Drosophila melanogaster: one gene and its partners. The protein of the gene in region 4 purifies or fractionates together with the protein of the main gene of each other region. This does not show direct contact. Each region holds a gene or a part of one and is shown on either strand. Other genes may lie near its edges.

Region 1 (4,207 bases), on a different chromosome or scaffold from region 4:
TTCCTCACTATGTCGTACATGTAGTGCATGTGCTCCTCCTTGACCCAGATTCCCTTGATATTCAGCACTCTCAGTCCTGCGCCTTGGGCTGCAATCACCTGGAAATTGAACCCTTGTTCAAAAGAGTCTTCTATATAGGATTTTCCTTGATTACCTGCAGGATCTTCTCGTAGTAGCTGAAGGGAAACACCTCGGTCATCAGGAAAGTAACGCCACAGTTGAGCAGCATCTGCAGGCAGGTGAACCGCATGTTGGCGTCCAGATAGTCCGAGCTGAGGATCACCCTGAGCAGATCCTGGTATATATTGGGGGTTGCTCCCAGCTGGGCCAGATACTCGTTCAGTTCCACCATGACGATGTTAATGTCCAGCTGCACGTCCGGGGCATACTGCGCGTAGCTGATGGTGGACACCAAGAGATTGGCCAGCTCCGCCAAGGCGCTGTCGCTCAGCGATCGCACGGAGCACTTTTTCGACATGTCTCTGTTATGGTTTCGGCCCAGAGGTAAACAAAATACGACGCAGAAGCCGCTGGGAGATGAGCGCACTAGAGGAATTGTTTTGCTCGTGGTTACATCACTTGGTAGCAGGCGCAATGCTGGTTGTTTTCCTGCTCCCTTAGAGTATTTCTAACGTTCCTCGGTAACTATTTGCCCAATATCAGCTAATGGCGCACTTCTACACATGCGTGTACCTTATATTTAGGGGTAAAAATAGATTCTAAAATTATATAGGCGAAGGAATCGGTTTCTGCCGACGAACTAGTGAACTGCTCGATCCAACAGCACGATGCAAACTGAGAGCCATGGGACGCCAAAATGTTTGGTTTCCTCGGTTCCACATTCTCAATTCGGCGAGCCACTTGAGCGACCAAAAAAAAACAATGCTTAACTCGTTTCATTGTTATTTTGAGTCGCTTTACAATTGCATTATTTATTCGACAGCATCGGAATAGAGACATTCTATAGTTTACTTAACTGATTCGGATGAAAGCCAGCCAGTTATTCTGCTGTTTAAACAATATTACAACTATTACACAAAATTTTAAAACGAAATCAAAGTTTTTGTTTGGTATTCCGCAGCTTTAAGCCTTTTAAACTAGAATTTCTGGCGAATGCAGTTCGGTTTACAGATATTCGAATGTGGGAGAGTACTAAGAGAGCGTTTTTCAGTAGAGATTCTAGGGCTGCAGGTAGCTGGGCAGCTTCATGCGCATGAACAGCCAGGTGGTGAAGAAGGAGACCAGGATGAAAATGAATCCCATGGCGGTCAGCAGCAGGCGGTTGAGGTTCGTCTTGCCCGGCGTGTGCGTTTGGTCCATGATAATGAATCCCAGTCCGCCGACGGTGAACAGGAAGCTGCTGGCCAGGCCCTCCATGATGTACTGCCCATTCACACGGTAGGGCATAAAGGCCACTGGACGCGAGTGTCCGTGCTCATCCACCGTGGCTCCCAGACTGGGCGGCTCCACAATCACGTCATATATGATACCTGCGGGCCAATTTGCATCTCTGTTTAACCAATCTCAATTATAGAAAGCTTAGGACTCACCGCCTGTCACCAGAAAATAGGAAAACAAAATCACACTGAAAACGGCCATCGGTGACGGCATTGGAATGCTGAATCTGCGCACCTTGATGTTCGGCGGCACCAGGATGTGGAAGGGCAGGTTATACAGTGTCTCGATCATGATGAACTAATAATTTAATAACTATAAATTTAAATATATCACGGATTTTTCAATTTTCGTGGCGGTGTCGCTGAATTTTGCCGGCGTAGGCGGAGTTTGTTGTTATCTATCGAATAGGGATGGACACTTGTACGATACTCCCCCTGCATTGGTGTATTTCCACTAGACAGCATCTATGCTTGCAGCTGCATCGTAAGCCATGTCATTGTACTGTTAATGTCTTAAGTTTTAAACTGCCTAATCGATTTGAATTTTTTTATAAGACTCAAAATATATTATATGTAACATCAAACGATTGGCTTATTGATACTAATGTGCTTCAGCTGCGCAGCGTGAACAGCCTTTATATTTGGTCATACTTAGTGATGTCACTATTGCGCTCGCGTAGAAAAAGAGGAAGATGCCCCCAAAATAACAAACAAAACGTAACTCCCGATCAAAATAGCTTTAAATTGAAGTTAAATAACGAAACAACTATAATGGCGAGTGGCATTAACCAAGCAGCAGGTGGGCTGAGTGAATTTCTGAAGATTCGTAGCTTAGTTAACCACTCCATTTGCAGGTAAACTGCCGGCAATTGCGAAGAAGGTGCAAAATCTCGGCGATATGGGCGTTTGGCAAAAATCCCGCGCCTTCCACGATTTAATTGGATATATAAATGGCACCAGTTCGGCCATTCAGGGCATTAAAACCACAGACGAGATTTTCGAGTCGGAAATGCTCAAGAAGCTGCTGCGGCTATTCGATGCACTGGAGAAATTGGTAGAGCAAAATCCTCCATTGGAGCAGCCGCAGCGGTTCGGAAACAAAGCCTACAGGGATTGGGCGCAGGCAATGCGGGAATTGTTGCCCGAACTCCTAGAACAGCTGTTGCCAGACGACAAGAAGCGATACCAGGTGGAGCTGGGGCAGTATCTCACTGAATCTTTCGGCAATGCCACCAGGATCGACTACGGCACCGGCCACGAGCTGTCCTTCCTCTTCTTCCTGTGCTCCCTGTTCAAGGCGGAGATCCTGCAGGAAAGGGACATCGTGAGTGCTGCGCTGAGACTCTTCAATCGGTACCTTGAGCTCGCCAGGCAGCTGCAGCGAACATACAACATGGAACCCGCTGGGAGCCAAGGAGTCTGGTCGCTGGACGATTTCCAGTTCGTGCCCTTCATCTGGGGCAGTGCACAGCTGGCGGGTAAACAATTAAGAAGGATTCCTCCAAGATTTCCTTTCTGAAACGATTCCTTTCAGTTAAGAGTCCCTTTGATCCCTCGAAGTTCGTGGACGAGGCGATAATCACCGAGTACAAGGATCACTTCATGTTCATCAGTTGCATCGACTACATCTGCAAGGTCAAGACTGGACACTTTGGCGAGCACTCTAACCAGCTGTGGAGCATCACGGATGTGCCAACATGGGCCAAGATCAACGCGGGACTAGTTAAGATGTACCAAAAGGAGGTAATCTTTAGTCAGTAATATGACTAATATAAAGTAGCTTTAATTGAATACCTAGTACTCAGAAACTACTATAAACTATCCACAGATTCTCTCCAAGTTTCCCGTGATCCAGCACGTCTACTTCGGAGAACTGATGACATTCGAGCCCGTCTCCTCTGGCACAACTCTGTCCAACGCACGACTGGGTCATGTGGCTCCGCCGCCATCCAAACGCATCTGCATCGGGACTCCAAACTTGGTGCCACCAGTTCCTGTTGCCACTGCTCCTCCTCCGCCCGCCGAATCTCTTAGCATCGAACAGAATGTGGGCGACTCGAGCAGTGAGAGCAGCGACAACAGCGTGGTACTACGTCCATCCACATCGTCGTCTTCTCTGGTGGCGGCCGCCGAGGGATCTGGGGATAAGCCCAGCAAGGAATAGACTACAGAATGGAGGAAAATGGCGATGGTGTAACCTGTGTTAAAAATTCTTATTAATAGCGTTGGCCAATGGTCCAGTAAAAACTGTTTACACAAGTACAATCGCAATTTGTGTTCCTGGGTCTTAAAGTTTCCGCTTTCAAATGGGTACATGAAGCACTTTCCCGGCGAATGTGTTTCACAACATTTAATCCGAGTTTAATGGAAACAAATGTTCTTTCCCATTTACACAAGAAAAAGTACAAAAATGGGAAGCGATGGACGAGCGGAAAAAAAATAAACAAAATCAATATGGCAAATGAGGCATGCAAATAGATGAACTCGTTGTAGTACATCTACTTTTGCGGGTAGAAACAGCTTAAAACAGGACGAATTTATAGCAGAAAAAGAGGGAAGCTGGAAAGTGGCAAAATGTAAAAGTTGAAAAAAAAAAACTTTTGCGGGGAGTCCCCCTGAAAGCATAATCATTTATTTTCGACACATCATTTATCAAACCGTACGGCAGGCGCCAGCTTGCCACGCCCCCTCATTTCGTCACTTAAAAACTTCATCCGGCATAGTTTTTTTTTTTTGTTTTTTTCTTCGTTGTATATTTTGAGAAAAACCGGGTAGGCAAGGCAGCAGCGAATGCATTAAAACTTTGCCGA
Region 2 (5,276 bases), on a different chromosome or scaffold from region 4:
CCATTTCAATATCTGAAGAACTTTCTACTCACAGACCACCAGCAGTAATCTCACCGCTGTTTGCTGCTCGAAGAGATTGGTGCTGAGGCAGCTCTTCCACAGCATGTACTTGGTTTCCTCATAGGCCAGATCGGCCAGCAACGGGAAGTTCCGCTGGTTGAGCACCCACTGTTCCAGCTCCTGCATCGAATTGTCCAGGAAATCCTGACACCAAACATACTTCTCGGCCATTTTGGCTGCCGTAAGGAGCAACGTCGCTCCACGCTCGTTCAGGCGCAGCACGGCATTATTCAGCGTGGGCTGCATACCGGCAAACATTTTGTTGCTCAGCCACAACGGCGCCTTCTGCACTATCACCTCGCACATGTCCTCGGTATCTACATGACATTGTGTTAGAGAAATAATATATCTCTTTATTCAACCAGTACTTACAGATTTCGACTAGCACATTGACCAAGCTCTGCAGGATCGTGTCCGAGTAGTTGGTGGTGATCAGCAGGAAAGGAACAACGGCCACGTCCAGCGGCTTCTTCGGTGCGAATCCCTCCCTAAGCATCTCACGAAAGGCTGCCCTAAGGTGCTGTTCGTGGCACGAGGTCATATAATCGAGGATGCCCGCCTCCGAATCCAGGTGGCAGCGGTAGTCATCGACGAATCGCTTGATGCCGCACTGTAGAATCTGCATGATGATCTTGTAAGGGAAACAGCCGCCCAATCTCGCCACAATCCAGTCGAAGGTCATGGGAAACCGGTGAAAGGCATTGAGCATGATCTCCACGCAGGCCTCCTCCTCCGGTTGGGTTAACTTTCGGAAACAACTATTTATAAGGGTCATCAGCCCGTGCATGGCGCTGCACTCCAGCCAATAGTTGCAGCTGGCCGTGATGGTCATCCGCCGCTGGGTGTACTTATCGGACAGCTTGGCCACTAGTTCCAGACTCCAGTTGGCGATGAGCGGCGACCAGGCGGGCGGTCCCTTCCACACCAGACTCTGCAGCGCGGTCTTTACCAGATTGAAAGCCTCGTATTCCGGAGCACGTTGCTGCTGCTGGCGATTCCCGGCCAGCTTCACCTGGGATACCGGCATACCGGTCTTTGGGTCGGCCATCTCCGGCGACACATACAGCTGCACACTGATTTCGGCCAGCAGGGCGAAGTATTCGAACACAATGTCTCGCGTGGCGGGCAGCTCCTCCAGGAATCCCAGTCTGCAAATATCCATGGAATTATTTACTACGGGCATCATTATTAACCACCGCGGTTGCTACTCACGCGAGCTTGATGAGATTGGGGCTGGTCAGCAGCTGCGGACAACTGTGCCCATTGCTCACCGTCTCTATGAAGTGCTTAAGCTGATCCAACAGGTTCTGGCGCAGCATTTTGTCGTCCTAGGCATCGGGAACGCAGCACCGAAGTTGGCCAAGTGAGCAAATGCATCGCAGCAGCGGGTCGCTGCGTCTTTCACTCGGAATACCAAAACGACGGGGCACAACTGCAGGCATTTGGAATCCGCCGCCACCTGGCCACACTAAGGCGGCAGAAAATTCGAAATTCTTTAATATCTGAAAATCATAAAATTAACAGAATAATAAATATCTTAGCACTCTAACGTGTCATTACATTCATTATAAACTAGCACCTGAGATTAGTTTAAGATGACACTTTACATTCAAGTTAAATTAAGCTGGAAAAGATTTCTAATCGGAATTATGTGTTTACTACAATGCTAACTTTCGAATCGAGGATGTAATTACTGAGTAATCAAACTGTTTGCTCTTTTTAATACTAAGTAAACGTACTTATAGCTCTATTTTCTAATTTTATAATATTTAACGTGTTTTTGTTTTAAAATATTATCGTAACAGTAGGGAGTGCGAAAAACGGTAACACCAAAACCCAGTTCGTGCATTATTGCACACTCTTTTGGGGCGAATCAAGAGCGAAAGACAACATGGCGTCGAAGCGGCGAATCTGTCTCGCAGTTTGTCGTGCTGTTTGCTTTTTTCTGCTCTGATTTGTACAAATATTCATTCAAGGTGCTCCAGTTTTGCCAAGTATATGTTAATAGAGTACCATAACAATGGTGGCGTCACAGGGGTGCTAGAGTTCGATATCGATAACAGCTCACATTCTCGTCATATGCAACTATCGCTGTACTCTCTGGCCGAGTATCGATACGCAGATATTATCGTCGTGGTCAGACCAACGCTCTAGCGTCGGTCCGCGGAAAATAGCGAAAATTACAATTATCCGGGAAGATATATTGGTCGAAAACTAACTCGTGATCCCCCAATAAATATGCGCAAGAGAAAATTGTATATAAACTGATCGAATGCAGCCAGCGTGCTAAGCACTAAAAGCGAAAAACGCCAGAAACAGAAACAAGGAATTGCAGCGTGAGTGTATAACTTTTTGGTTTTTGCCCCCGCGCTCTTTCTCTCTCTTTGCTGCTCTCTCTCTCCCGCTCTCTTTTGCCCTCTTGCGGCTTCTGTGTTGTCTGCGTGCTAGTGTGTGTGTGTTTGAATTTTACTGTGAATGTGACCGACGGTGTGTTCTCACGTACTCCGTGGATGATTTGCGGCCTTGCCAGGGAATCGGACTATATATCCCGGCAATAGCCCATATTGGATCCCGATTTTGAATACAACTCGGCTGATTTGCTTCTTTCAGTGTCTCCCCTTTTATCGCACTTTATGCAACAACGCATACCGTCGTGTTGAATTTCCTCGCTCTCCGCTGTGTGTGGTTTGTAGGTGTGCGTGTGTTCGAGGTGAGTTAGCCGTCGTCTGTTTTTCTTTTCCCTGCGTTTTGTGTGCGTTTCAATGAAATGCAAAATCGCCAGCGAATATCGCGGAAATGCGCTGCTCCTAAATATTATGTATACATAAATAAAGTATCGAATCAAAACAAAATCGGCTTGCAACAACAACAAAAACATTGCAGAGTGTGGGTGGCGCGTGTAGCGATCAAAATTGCGTGCATGTGTAATGTGTGTGGTGGAGAGACGGCATTTTTCTTTACCACACGCCTCTTCTTCTTTCCCACAATACACTGCAATTTTTGCGATTCTGTTTTGCGCCTGCCATTCGCAATAATTTTATTGAATGAACCGCAAAAGAGACGGCCCAAAAAGCGATGTACTTGCCAGACGTTGTGTCTGTGTGCGTCCAAGTGTCTGTAGCGCGTTGTGTGTGTATCGCGTATGAAAATACATCAACTGTTGGGCATCAACAAAAAAACGGAATCAAAAATTTATAATAAAAAATGAAAGGAAATTAGCTGACTTTGTAATCGCAATCGGAGAGTGTTTACTTGCTAAATTTTCGAGTTCTCCGCCCGTCTCTTTCCCTTCATCCCTCCTGCCTTCACCGCCAATACCACCCCAAAAAATTGCATACATGCACACACGCCTTCGGTTGTGCGAGTGGTTTAGTGTGTGAGCGCGCGCGTATTCTGCACACATTGTCATGCATGCAAAAAACAAGATACGACGCGTTCGCAATCGTTAGATTCCGTCTCCCCCAATTCATGGCGTTTCATTGCTGGGGGCGAAAGTAAGAAGATAACGAAAGGGATATGCGAACCACTTCCTAATGAAGTCCTGCATCCTTAGCTTTTGGATTCCCACCTCTTCGCCTTCTCCTTCTTCACACGGACACTTGCAGCGTTCGCGCCCATGCGTGTGTATGTGTGCGAAGAACAGGAAGAGAGCAGCGAGACTCCAATTATCCATTTACAGTTGCGGTTGAAATGATGGAGCATAGTTGTATTATTTGTATTCACACAATTACCGGTGGTATTTAAAGTCTTAACAATATTTATTAATTTCCTGCTACCTTCCTAAATTTTATTCATAGTTTTAATACTGTACCCAAGTACCTTAAGTTCCCTAATCAGATGTAAACTTGTTGATAGGCATAATTCCTATCTTAGTTTGTATTTTTGTCTACTATAACCTAAACTTAATTCTACTACGAATTTAATTACAACATACTAAGACTGTAATCTACAAACCAAACGAAAATGCCTTGAATAAAAGAGGTCTAGTGATTCATAATACGATTTGCACACGTGTTATTAACTAGGTAGTAGCGAAATAGAGTCAAAAAGGCCACCGACTTGTTCACAACTGTATCTCTTACTAACTTCCCTATAAAAACTAATTGTTGCTGGGGCGAAAAAATACTGCCAAGTTGTCATATTTGCCGGACTTTATTGATGACTCGACTCCAGAGCTCTATATTTCGCACACAGATTTTCTCTCGGCACTTTTCGCAACCTTCTGCGGCCGCTGGTTATTAATAAAAATTAATAATAAACGAAATCTGTGGCGCTGTGCGGCACTTGGACACACTTATGTACACATGAGCATTCTCGTGTTTTTCGCAGCTGATTGCGTAAACGAAACCGCTCGCTACGTTTGTTTTGAATTGCTACTTTTGTTTTGGTACCGATTCAGACTTGGAATCCGATTCAGTTACAGATTGAGATTGAGATTGAGATACTCAGGCTCTCCGCCTGGGCTTCAATTCTCCTGCGGGCGTTATCAGTGGCCTATGGCGCTTTATTGGAATTACCATGGAAGTGGGAACTTAATCGCTGTGCAAATCGCTTCGAAACAGCGCAGCACGCATTTTCCCCGACGTCTTGCAACCTTGGGCGAGTGGCACTGCGGGCGGTGGGTGGTGAGCGGTTGGGTGATCTAGAGTGACGTAAATATTTGTGGTGGACAGTCAACATTGAGGTGGCGCTCTTCAACGATGACGTAGCTTTTGCCACTTCTGTTTACTCGCACATTATTTCACACACTTCTCCATTGATTTTCGCCGTGCAGATAACGAAATAGTGGACTGATTGTTAACTGTGTATAAATGAAAATATGGGTATGATATGTGTTTATTTACACTTTTTTTCTGTGTACGAGAATGGTTAGATTACTCCCCTTCCTCGTTTTGAGTCACCCGCTCTCTGGCCCTCGCCGCTGTTTGTTTTCTTCGCGCGCGTGTTTGCTCTCGCCGTGGGGCGAAAGCGCAGCGATAATAGTGGCTCAGATATAGTGTATACTATATGTATAGTAAACCTACTCATACCGAAAACCCCATCGCACAGATACGGATACATTTACAGATACACGCGCGCACTGCGGAAGGCCTAGATCTAATGGAAAACGCTAAATGTTTGTAAACAGACCGGGCACATTTCTTTTCTTTTCTTAATTATTTTTTGCATTTCGCATTTTAGTTGGCATGGTCTTCTCACGGCTTCTCTCTCTTCAC
Region 3 (5,470 bases), 9.9 Mb from region 4:
ACCCCTCACAATTGTGTTTAATCATTATACGTATAATTAAACTGTACTTCACTGGTTTCATTCTTATTAGAGGTATTTGTAGCGGACAATGCTTGTTAGAGGTAGATTATAAGATCTTTATTGAATCACATAGAAAAAAAATATGTAATTTTATGTGGAGCACAGATGATTTTTTGTTGTATGTATGATCCGTTGATCCGTTCATAAAGACGGATAACATCTCCAGGTGTCCATTCGATCAGTTTTGCAGAAGTCTGTCGAGCGAGGATGCGAGTTCTTTGGATATGGCGTCTGGAAACTGGATGGAGAACCTGACGACGATGGAGCCGCGACGGGAATTATTAATGGAATCGGGCAATCCGTAGCCCAGAATGCGGCGCACGGATTTCGGACTGATTACCTCGCCCACGTCGGTCTTGAGTTCCATCGGCCTGCCAAGAAGCGTCGGCACCATCACGTGTAAACCGCACAGAGCATCCTTCAGCGAGATTTCGGCTGTGTACAGCAGATTGTTGCCATCGCGGCGAAAGATTGGGTGTGGCTTGTCCCGGATTATAAACACGACGTTGGCGGGCTCAAGGTTGGGCAGTTGAATACCCTCATTGGGAAAGCAGATCTTGGTGCCAGCCTTACAGCCCGGAGGTATCTTGACAGTGAGAATTCTGTCATATTGTACCCCATCAACGCCGTTCCTACCCGAAGCCCGGGAGATCTTCATGCGCCTGTTGCACCCGTTGGCAATGTCCTCCAGAGCAACGTATATTACATGTTCGATGCTTGACTGGGGTGACTGTTGTTCGCAACGACGTTTAGGCGCGCCCGCTCCTCCACCCAACAGGACGTCATCGTCGCTGTCAAAATCGTTTTCGATATCCTCGAAGAACGTAGAATATGATTCGCTGTTGTCGAAGAAACGTCCAAAGTTGGCCCGCGGGTTGTTCTGGCGACCACCGCCACTGCCACCGCCACTGCCACTGCCACTGCCACCACCACAGCTACCAAATGCCGTTCCATCGCCGAAACCGCTACCTTGATTCGCGGTATTGCGTCGGGTACCCTTGTCATTGCGGGAGTCGTACGATCCGCGCTTCTTTTTGTCTGATAGGACTTCATATGCCTTGGCCACCTGCTTAAAGATCTCCTCCGCCTGAGGGCTCTTGTTTTTGTCCGGATGGTAGCGCAGCGCTTGCTTATGATATGCCTTGCGGATTTCGCCATCATTGGCAGTGCGCTGGATGCCCAGTATCTTGTAGTAGTCTTTAGGCATGGTTTTTTACTCCAAATGTTTTACGTACACAGACGAACAAGTGCAACTCCTTCGAAAATTTAATCGAATTGTAAAAGGTATTGTTCCAATCAGAATGTTGCTTAATTTGAACAACACTGCTACGATTACTATATGCTTACTATTTATTTATGCTTCGATTTAGATTTTATAGCCTAACGCCCTTTCTTTTAGTTTTTCTATTGGTCTGATTTTGGTTAACTTATACAACAATATTTTCGCTGCATAACTTTAAAAAGGGAGTGGGACATAACAAGTTTTGAATTCAAGAACCGATTACTTTCGATATTTACCGCCATGCTCAGTGCCATGGTTACTCAAAAATCATCGATTGCTAGCTGCGCTCATACGATAGTTGCCATCGGGGGTCGCTCATCACTGCCGGCATCAAACGGTCACATCACTCTCAATATTAATTGATAAGCAAAAAATTGAGCAAGTTCTCGCATAAACTTTGCAATCGGAAAAGCGTAGTTGTGATAAAAACAAGTAGAATAACAAAAACAAAAAAACAACAAACAAAAAAAAGTAGGTTCAAAAAATGGAGAGCGAGAAAATCTGTGACCTGAAAATGTTGAGGTGGGCCAGTTTCGTGATGGAAATTCGCAGGGCGTCGTGTATATTTTTCTTTTTTTTTGGCCTTCTGGCGCAGACAGTTACAACAACAACTATGACTTGGCAACAAGAGTTGCAGCCGCTAACATACACACGCAGCCAGACATGCAGAAGCTGTGAGCAGCTTTTGCGAATTGTAGAAAATGTGTGCTTGTGTGCAACATAACTAGTTTTCTCCTGCGAATCATCCACGAAAAGAGAAAGAGGGACAGAGAGAAATGTCTGACAGCTGGCAGATGCAAGATGTATTATGTCCGCTTCTTGCGCATACCTACCTGCACACAATTGCAGTTGCTCATTTGCTCTCTCGTTTTTTGTGTGTCTACCTCGAGGTGGAAAATGTTCATAACTTTGCCGGCCGGTTTTTGATCTCCTTTCTTTGCTCACCACTTTTTCCCCCCAAATCATGATCATAGCTTTCCCCTCCGCTCAGCGATCGCCTAAATGGTCACCATGGAAAACAGCGACGAGATAATGCAGATCCTAGAGCGCTTTACGGATCTTAAACAAAAGGAGATCCCAAAGGAGCTGGAGGAGTACCTACAGTATGTGGCCAAGACCGGCGACACCATCTTCAAGTGGTCCAGCCTGAAGTACTTGTTCCGCGAGAAGCTGCTCAGCGTGATCAAGCACTTTAATGAGGATTCGCCGCGTTTGGAGGGTGAGTTTTCAGGTTGTCCTGTTAGGTTTGGTGTCAGGTTGAACCATAATCCGAAATGCAATTCCACTCAGGGATATTAGGAACAGAAATAACCGAAGACGAACTTAACTGCTTGCAGAGATTCCCAACTATCCGAATGTGGACCCTTTCAACTACGAGACCATGAAGTCCTCGTTGCTGGAGCGCTTGGACCTTTTCAATGCAGCTCCTTTTACCGTGCAGCGGTTGTGCGAGCTACTAATCGATCCTCGGAAGCAGTACTCGCGCATCGATAAGTTTATGCGTGCTTTGGAAAAGAATATTTTAGGCAGGTCTCATTCCTAAAACTAACTATTTACTATGTATTAAAGATTCTTAATTTTACAGTGGTTAGCACAATCGATCCTGGACGCAAGCGTACCGAAAGTGAGAATGGCGACTCGCTGGACTCAGTGGTCAACGGGGACCTCTCCATGGAGGTGAACATTGACATTGAAATGGAGAATAATAACGGTAACGCCGATGAGGGCTCATCTCCCGGCGCCGGTTCGGCAGGTTGTGCCCAGAAGGCAAGCTGCCCGCGTTCGGACGACAATGATCAGCCCAAGGCCAAGAAGGCAAAACTGGAGATCGATGGTGAAGAGCGTTCGGAAGCGAGCGATGAAACGGACACAGAAGTGGCAACCAGGGTCAAAAATGAAAAGGATGAGAAGAATGACAACGATGAGACTGATTCGCCGCATGAGGCTGCCGAGATCGAGGAGCCCGATGAAGAGGTGGATGAGGCTGATCAGGAGACCAAGACCACCAAGCAGCCTGCTTACGGCAGTCAGAAGGAGGGCGAGCAGGAGGAAAGTTTCCCATCATCTGCCGATGACGAGGCGGAGGACCCAATGGTGAGCAAATCCATAGAAGCTGAGAAAGAACTTGTTGCTCAGGAAAAGAAGAGGGAGGAGGACAAAAAGGTGGCAATCGAGCCAAAAGAAGAGATTGTAAAGAAGGAAGAGGTCGTCGAGTCTGATAAACCGGACGGAAAGGTGGCACAGTTAGGCGACAAGGCAGTTGTCAAGAAATCTACACCGCCTGCCGATGGGGAAAACCAGGAGCCTGTCAAAGTCAAGGCAGAAAACGAAAAGGAGGAGAAAAAACATGCACCAATTAAAACTGAAAAGCAGGACGATATCGACTCTACTGAGACTGACGATGCCCCATCAGCAGAAAAACCCGCTGAAGAAAAGATAGCTTCCTCCGAATCGAAACCGAAGACCAAATCTGAGGACGATCCAGAGGCCGAGACCAAGAAGAGCCAACCGGAAAAGACTGAAACTGAGGCGGCCGAGAAGTCGGTTTCGGATGAAAAGCAGGCTGCCGAGCCGAATGCAGAAAGCGAGAATAGGAACGACTTGACCACTTCCAAAGCGACCGAGGCAGCCCAGGAGTCAGTCGAGAAGTCGCCGGTTGAGGATGCTTCTAGTCCTGCTGTGGAAGATCTGGCAGCTGCAACCACACCGCAATCTCCTTTGGGCGCTGCCGATTCCGCTGCTGAGACGCCGCCTGCTGAGACAGGCGATGACTCGCAGGCTTCGCCCTTGGTCGCCGCTGTAACTCCGCCTGTCTTGGCCCTCAACGACCAGCCCATGGAGGATACTCCAGCCGAGGAGGAGGCACGCGTCTCGCCGTCGGCCACCGTCGAGGAGGTGGTAATGGCCGAAAGCGCCAATGCCGGCGCAATGGCCACCGAAGAGGCCGCCAAGGACGATCCGGCCGCCATGGAGATCGATGACACCAGCCAGGAGGTGATGATGCAGTAGATTGGGCCCATTCAGGAGCCGTAAACACCTTTATTTAACTACTACTCCATATAACTAGTATTTTAAGACAAAAGCCGCAAATAATGTAGATGTAATCCTGCCCTGCTTTCCCTTTTATATCCCAACAGATCCCAATACTTTCCAATAAGGCAAGCAGTGGTAGCTCCCCCTTCGTAGCCGTAAGTCGCAGCCCGGACACGATCCAACACTAGACTCTGTTGGCGGTTCGGTGTTTCATGCTCTGTGGCCTCCCCTTTTGTTTTGTATTTATGTTGTGCTGTCCACCCCCTTGCGAATGACAATTTTGAGTATCTCAACCCCCTCGCCACTGTTCCCAAATTTTTTTAAATAATCTAGTTTTAGACGCTGTCCGTGGCACGAACTTCGGCAAGCTGTGAGCGCGATTAAACACAGAATAAACACTACTCGTAATAACAGTTCGCCGCCGTTATCCTTTCGATCCTTTCAGGTGCAGGTGCAGTATATCTTAAAAGCATAATAGGATTTACCAAAACGCTGTAGGGATAGCTTAGCATGTTGCTAAAGGTTTTTGTCCACTTTTTATTATAAATTTTGGGCAATTGAGCAAAGCTTTAATTATAATTGTGTAAGGTTGAGGTATTCCAGGACAAAGGACATTTAAAGGAACTTGTTGGAATACCTGATTGGGGTCATTTTGTTGGCATTTTAAATGAAATGACTTGCTTTTGAACGAATAGAATCGGGCGTTAATTTGATTGTGGTTGCAGTTATAGTTTGTGAAATATTTAACAGTTGTGCTGATGTTTTTGGTTACTAACTCAATTTATGGGGCTAGATAAGTTCGTCGGACTAGTGCAATCTGACATATCGACGCTTTTAATCGCCGAATGCTTTGCAAGCCAATCGAATCCTTTTCTATTTGTTTTTGCCCAGTGAAAGCCAGTCGAGTTTCTTTGGTATAGATTGTGTAGGTGTGTGAGTAACAAGCAAACAGAAACACAGAAATTGGCACGCAAGGCGAGCAAGCAAACAGGTCGTGTAATCACTTAGCAAACTAGTTCAAATTGGTAACGTGTGAAGAAGCCAATGGGAATCCCGGCGAGCGGCGGTGGTTGGCGGACACCTCGGTTCCTCGGA
Region 4 (5,513 bases):
ATGTGTTAGGATAGTTATTGTGCAATTATCAATCATATGATATATCGCTTACAGAGGATGTGGAGCAGCTGATGAGCCACGACCTGCCCGAGAGACACGAGGCCAAGTGCCTGCGCGCCTGCGTGATGAAAAAGCTGCAGATAGTGAGTGCTGCTGCTCCGGCAGGAAGTGTGATCCACTCACCACCACCCATTCCATTCTCCCTCCCATTGCAGATGGATGAATCCGGTAAGCTGAACAAGGAACACGCCATCGAGTTGGTCAAGGTCATGAGCAAGCACGATGCAGAGAAGGAAGACGCTCCCGCCGAGGTGGTGGCCAAGTGCGAGGCCATCGAGACACCCGAGGATCAGTGAGTAGTGCTCGCCGGAAGCTGTTGGCTCAAATCCGGACTATAATCATGCTGCCATTTTCAGTTGCGACGCTGCCTTCGCCTACGAGGAATGCATTTACGAGCAAATGAAGGAGCATGGACTCGAGCTGGAGGAGCACTGAGAACAGATTTGAGACCCATGACGACCCCCCGTTACTGTATCACAAGCGCCCTTCTGGAATATAACCATCTTTTTTTTTTATGTGTATACTATGAATTAAGTACTTGATAAACTGAGAAACTGCAGGCTTGATTGTTTGTTGGATTGTGAAGGGGGATTCGTATGGGTGTGGTTATCCTCCAAGACTCCTCGGGACCCATAATTTACTAATAAAAAATTCTTGCTCAATTTCGACGATTATATTACAATCTTTATTATTATAAATACAAGTACATTTTTTTGTATATCATCTCCCAATCTGGGGCATATTTAAAAGATTCTTACTCACTATTTATTAATGCACGATGTTCTTCGTACCTGGGTTTCTCCAGGTGATATCCTGCGGAGAAGGGACCCAGCCAGGGATGCGCGTTCGCTCTCGGCTCCCCTAAATATGTCCTAGCTTAGCCGACTTAACGCAATCTGTCGGTAAAAATATCTATTTGCTCAACTTGGGCTCCTAGTATAGTATGCTGCCCAAGCCCAGGGAATTCGTGTCGAGAAGACGGCGGCTCCGATTGCGGTCCGTCTACGCAAGGCGAATTCTCAGGGTCTTGGGCTATGGTCATTAAACCTATTAGTTAGTAGCTAGATGAGGTGCACAGGTCATACGCGATCTGCATGGCTGATCTCTACATGTTTTGAAAACAGCCATTAAAAGATCGCGCAAATAGCCTGATTAAACACAGGTAGAGGTAAACAGATGGTAAAAAAAATTTAAATATCTTAGTTGAACCAAAAAAGCAAATAAGTCTAACTGAACGTGGACCTGTGTCCGGCAGCTCTACCCTAGCTTACGTTTATGTTACATATTTTTTGTTTTACACCATCAGTTGCTATTCGCGTTCGCTTCGCTTTTGCAGGCTGGCAGTTTCTATTTCTATTCCCTAGATGATTTATGTAAGCTACCAGTCGGCACCCGCATCCTGTGCCGACTCCGTTCCACCGGATTGTCAGGAACGGAAGCGTCTTAGAGAAAGTAGTCCGCCTGAGGCTTCTTCGAGGGAATGCCGCGACTCTCTTGCGGAGCTGCCTCAAAGATGACGAAGTCGCGGTGCAGGTACTCATTCAGCTCCAGGATGGCAGCTACATTGCCGCAGCTGCATGTGGAGAGATTCCAGAGTTAACAACACAAGTTCGAAATTGCACAGGAGGCTGACTCACCGATAGCAGTAATTGGGTGCCGACCAGACGGTCAGGACGGTTTCGTTGAAGTGCCACTTGAAGCCCTCCATTACCAACTGGTGTGCACGGCAAATCATGTCGATATCGTTCGTGCGGTTGAACTGGGAGACCACGTCCGAGCCAAAGAGATAGCCAGCGCCGCGCGGCGACACGCCCCAGCCAGTCTGGTCCTCCGGATCGCTCCAAAGCAGGTCGCACATGGGCCCGTCGTGCGGCACCTCCTGCTTCCGGTCGATGCTGCGAATCTGGTCGAGGTACTGGATGGACGGCGACAGCCCGCCGTGCACGCAGAATATTTTGCCGTCGATGATCGCCGAAAGGCTGAGGTAGTCAAAGATCTCCGTGCAGTACCGCCACACGGCCGTCGATCCGTACTTGCGCAGGCACTCATCGTAAAAGCCGTAGACCTGTGTGATTTGGCGCGACTCATGGTTGCCCCGGATCAGCGTGATTCGGTCCGGATAGCGCACCTTCAGCGCCAACAGCAGCAGAAACGTCTCCACACTATAGTAGCCGCGGTCCACGAAATCGCCCATAAACAGGTAGTTCTTCTCGGGCACATCGCCGCCAACCTTGAACAGCTCCTTCAGGTCGTAGAACTGACCGTGGATGTCGCCGCACACGGTCACTGGCGAGTCCACACGCTGCACGTTGCCCTCCTCCACCAGGATCTCGCGGGCTTTGGCGCACAGGGCCTTCACCTCGTTCTCCTTGATGATCTCGCAGCGCTTCAGTTGCTCGATCTGTCGGTCCAGGTCGCTGTAGTCGGACATCTTCACCCGGAGGATGGCGGCAGCCGAGGCGACGGGGAAGCGGTGAATCGGACTGCAGGCGTTGACAGGGCGGGGACAGCGTTGTTAGTCGTTCACCAAACTGGCGCGGGTGGTTTTCAGGTAGCCACAAGGTTGCATAAGAGAAATACTATAAATTTTTGGTCGCTTGAGTGATAGGATAGGGTACTACTCTAGTCGTGCACAGCAAGTCTAGCGTTTTAGAGGCCATAAAGTGCATCTGTATAGCTGCATCCCCCACATCTAAGAATCAAGACGATTCAACTATATTTACGGATTGGGCAAATAATATAAACACACACATTCGCGTTCCCAGCTATTCCACTTGTTGAGATAGTCCATGAGGCTATTTCGCAATGAAAAGCCAACCAACGAGAAAAGAGGCTATATTCTCGATATAACTTCTTTTAGCTGTTTTAGATGGCTGTGTTTTAAGTGAATGCATACACATTTCTTTCAAATACGAAACGTGTATTTGACAGTGGATAGGGTTGGATTTGTTTTAAATCCAGAATTTCTGGATTAGAGATTAGTTCAGATTTTCAGTTGCTGCTGAACTGGAAGTAAGGTAACTAATAGTCGACTAATAACCATCCTTTTGTTTGTGTTTCGGTTTTTGAGTTCGCCTGCATGCGTCTGTGTGCGTCGGCTTTGTGCGGATGCTCGCGTGTGTGTGTGCGTCTGGCTTGTCGCTGGCCTTTTTGCCGCGCGCGATTTTCACCGTCTGCCGTGTTTTTCCTGTCTTCCCCGACACTTTTCCAGAATCACTACTTACTCAGCGCAGTGGCGGGCTATCTGGACAATCCTTTTGCTGGTAGCTCGGCTCTCGTGTTGGCGATTGAATACAAAAAATGCACATAAACGTTTTTGCCAACCGGGTTTCTGCGAAGAGCTGGATTGGCTACTTGCGTTTGTATCGATATATTGAGTAATGGCACTTGCAATGACACATCGAGTCTTCAGTTTCGATAGTGGGCATTACCACGAAGACCCTAAAAAGCCTTTTACACTGCACCAAGGATTCCATCGATAAATTATTTATTTTTGTGTATTTATAATACGCTGCAGCCGAAATTTTAAAATTTAAAGTTTGTAAAAACTAACCCTTGGAAAAATAAATCGACTTATCGGCAAGAGGGAGATGTGTTAATGTTATAATGCTTATATCGATAGCACTTTTGCAATTATTAGTGGCTATCTGGGTTGGTTTTCTCCATCTGGCAACGCTAGCATTGTTTATATTTTATTTCACAAGTTTTATCCCGAAAAACTCATTAAAAAAGATGCCCAAGGAGAAATCCAAGCACCGGCATCGCAGCCGCAGTCGGGAGAGGCGGGATCATCGCAGTCCGGATCCGAGGAGCAGCAGGAACAGGGATCGGGATCGTGAACGCGAGCGGGAAAAGGATCGTGACCACAGAGATCACAGAGACAAGGAACGTGACCAGCGCAGGGAAAGGGAAAAGGACAAAAGCAGGGACAAGAAGCGGGAGCACAAAAGCCGGAGACGCCGGTCCTCTTCCTCCAGCTCATCCCCGTCGAGTTCGACGTCCAGCTCGGTGCCCGGTGCCCCTCGTTCGCCGCTGGTAAAAAGCCCGATGAAGCTTCTCCAGACGCTGGAAGCCCGTCGCCTCGTCGAGCAGAAGGATCGTCAGCGTAAAAAGGAGGAGCTGAAGGCCCATGAAACGCCCGAGGAGAAGCGCGCCCGTCGCCTGCGCGAAAAGCAGGCCAAGGAGCAGCGGCGTCGCGAACGAATGGGCTGGGACAACGAGTACCAGACGTACTCCAACGAAGACAACCCGTTCGGGGACTCCAATCTCACCTCCACCTTCCACTGGGGCAAAAAGCTGGAGGTAGAGGGACTATCAAATCTCTCCACCAAAACCGTAGAGGTACTGTCTCTGCAAAAGCAGTTGGAAAATCGCAGGGAGCTGGAGAAGGTCAAGAAACGGCGTCAGGAGAGGGAGCTGGAGCGGCAGGTGCGCGAGGATGATCTTATGATGCAGCAGCGCGCCAAGGAGGCGGTGCAGTTCCGCGAGTGGCAGCGACAGGAAGATCAGTTTCACTTAGAGCAGGCACGCTTGCGCAGTGAAATCCGGATCCGAGATGGACGTGCCAAGCCCATCGATCTTCTCGCCCAATATGTGGCCGCTGGGAATGAGCCGCTCGAAGAGTGCCTCGAGATGCAGATGCACGAGCCCTATGTGCTGCTAAACGGCCTGCCCGTGGAAGAACTGGAGGACCTGCTGGTCGACATTAAGGTATACGAAGAGCTGGAGCAGGGCAAGCACATCGATTTCTGGAACGATATGATCACCATTGTGCAGGATGAACTGCAGCGCCAACAGAAACTGGAGGCGGAGAATAGTTCGCTCAATCAACGCCGGGATGGCATCCACCAGGCGGTGGTAAAGGATGTGGCCGATATTTTTAGGGGGAAGAATGCTCAGCAGCTGGAGGAGATGCGGCACCGCATCGAGGCCAAGATCAGTGGGCGAGCGGATGGCGTCGACATTAGCTACTGGGAAAGCCTGCTCTCGCAACTCAAGGCACACATGGCCAGAGCTCGACTGCGAGATCGCCATCAAGCCTTATTGCGCGAGAAGCTGTCGCTGCTCAAGCGAGAAAACGATAATGAGACGTTGCAAGAGAAGGTGGCCCCACAAGTCAAGGAAGAGGAGATGGAAACCCAGGACGCAGAGGACCCGGAGGTTGAGGAGGGCTCACCCGAAGACGAGGAGGATCCCCTGAATGAGCTGCGTAAAACAGTGCGTCTTTACCAGGCAGGGAACTACAGCCCGCGCTATATACGCGAAGAGGACTTCACCGGCAGACGAGCGCAAAACGAAGACGTCGACGAACCGGAGGCAGAAGGACTTCTCTACGAGGAGGAGGACGACGAGCGGCGAACACAGAGACAGCGTCTGCTAATCCTTCATCCAGAACGAGTGGATAACAATCAACTGACCCCGCAGGAACTGCGAATGCGCAACGAGGCGAAGCA

What was found.
Region 1: the proteins of Pp4-19C (region 4) and Ptpa purify together in Drosophila melanogaster (affinity purification with western blotting, with the first as the bait; one study listed by BioGRID). This does not show direct contact.
Region 2: the proteins of Pp4-19C (region 4) and flfl purify together in Drosophila melanogaster (affinity purification with western blotting; one study listed by BioGRID). This does not show direct contact.
Region 3: the proteins of Pp4-19C (region 4) and PPP4R2r purify together in Drosophila melanogaster (affinity purification with western blotting; 2 studies listed by BioGRID, with this or other methods). This does not show direct contact.

What each region holds. Positions count from the first base shown.
Region 1 is NT_033779.5:3,374,931-3,379,137, forward strand, and holds Ptpa (phosphotyrosyl phosphatase activator), read left to right. Parts: upstream 1-2,071; 5' UTR 2,072-2,168; coding exon 2,169-2,196; intron 2,197-2,251; coding exon 2,252-2,875; intron 2,876-2,931; coding exon 2,932-3,140; intron 3,141-3,225; coding exon 3,226-3,561; 3' UTR 3,562-3,660; downstream 3,661-4,207. Other genes in the region: CG15412 (uncharacterized protein), read right to left, coding at 1-98, 155-478; CG9662 (uncharacterized protein), read right to left, coding at 1,180-1,490, 1,551-1,689. UniProt on the Drosophila melanogaster protein: PPIases accelerate the folding of proteins. It catalyzes the cis-trans isomerization of proline imidic peptide bonds in oligopeptides. Acts as a regulatory subunit for serine/threonine-protein phosphatase 2A (PP2A).
Region 2 is NT_033777.3:13,681,755-13,687,030, forward strand, and holds the start of flfl (falafel), read left to right. Parts: upstream 1-2,166; 5' UTR 2,167-2,396; intron 2,397-2,670; 5' UTR 2,671-2,770; intron 2,771-5,276. Other genes in the region: omd (oocyte maintenance defects), read right to left, coding at 33-377, 433-1,208, 1,273-1,379. UniProt on the Drosophila melanogaster protein: Regulatory subunit of serine/threonine-protein phosphatase 4. The probable PP4 complex Pp4-19C-PPP4R2r-flfl (PPP4C-PPP4R2-PPP4R3) is required to prevent caspase induced cell death (in vitro). May be involved in DNA damage repair.
Region 3 is NC_004354.4:10,477,157-10,482,626, forward strand, and holds PPP4R2r (protein phosphatase 4 regulatory subunit 2-related protein), read left to right. Parts: upstream 1-1,681; 5' UTR 1,682-1,813; intron 1,814-2,213; exon of another isoform or gene 2,214-2,333; 5' UTR 2,334-2,344; coding exon 2,345-2,561; intron 2,562-2,632; exon of another isoform or gene 2,633-2,679; coding exon 2,680-2,868; intron 2,869-2,927; coding exon 2,928-4,351; 3' UTR 4,352-4,787; downstream 4,788-5,470. Other genes in the region: CG2887 (uncharacterized protein), read right to left, coding at 239-1,267. UniProt on the Drosophila melanogaster protein: Regulatory subunit of serine/threonine-protein phosphatase 4 (PP4). The probable PP4 complex Pp4-19C-PPP4R2r-flfl (PPP4C-PPP4R2-PPP4R3) is required to prevent caspase induced cell death (in vitro).
Region 4 is NC_004354.4:20,420,362-20,425,874, forward strand, and holds Pp4-19C (protein phosphatase 19C), read right to left. Parts: upstream 3,642-5,513; 5' UTR 3,285-3,641; intron 2,646-3,284; exon of another isoform or gene 2,592-2,645; 5' UTR 2,492-2,591; coding exon 1,698-2,491; intron 1,634-1,697; coding exon 1,504-1,633; 3' UTR 726-1,503; downstream 1-725. Other genes in the region: Obp19d (Odorant-binding protein 19d), read left to right, coding at 55-143, 216-352, 417-495; cactin, read left to right, coding at 3,793-5,513. UniProt on the Drosophila melanogaster protein: Protein phosphatase that regulates many processes such as microtubule organization at centrosomes. The probable PP4 complex Pp4-19C-PPP4R2r-flfl (PPP4C-PPP4R2-PPP4R3) is required to prevent caspase-induced cell death (in vitro).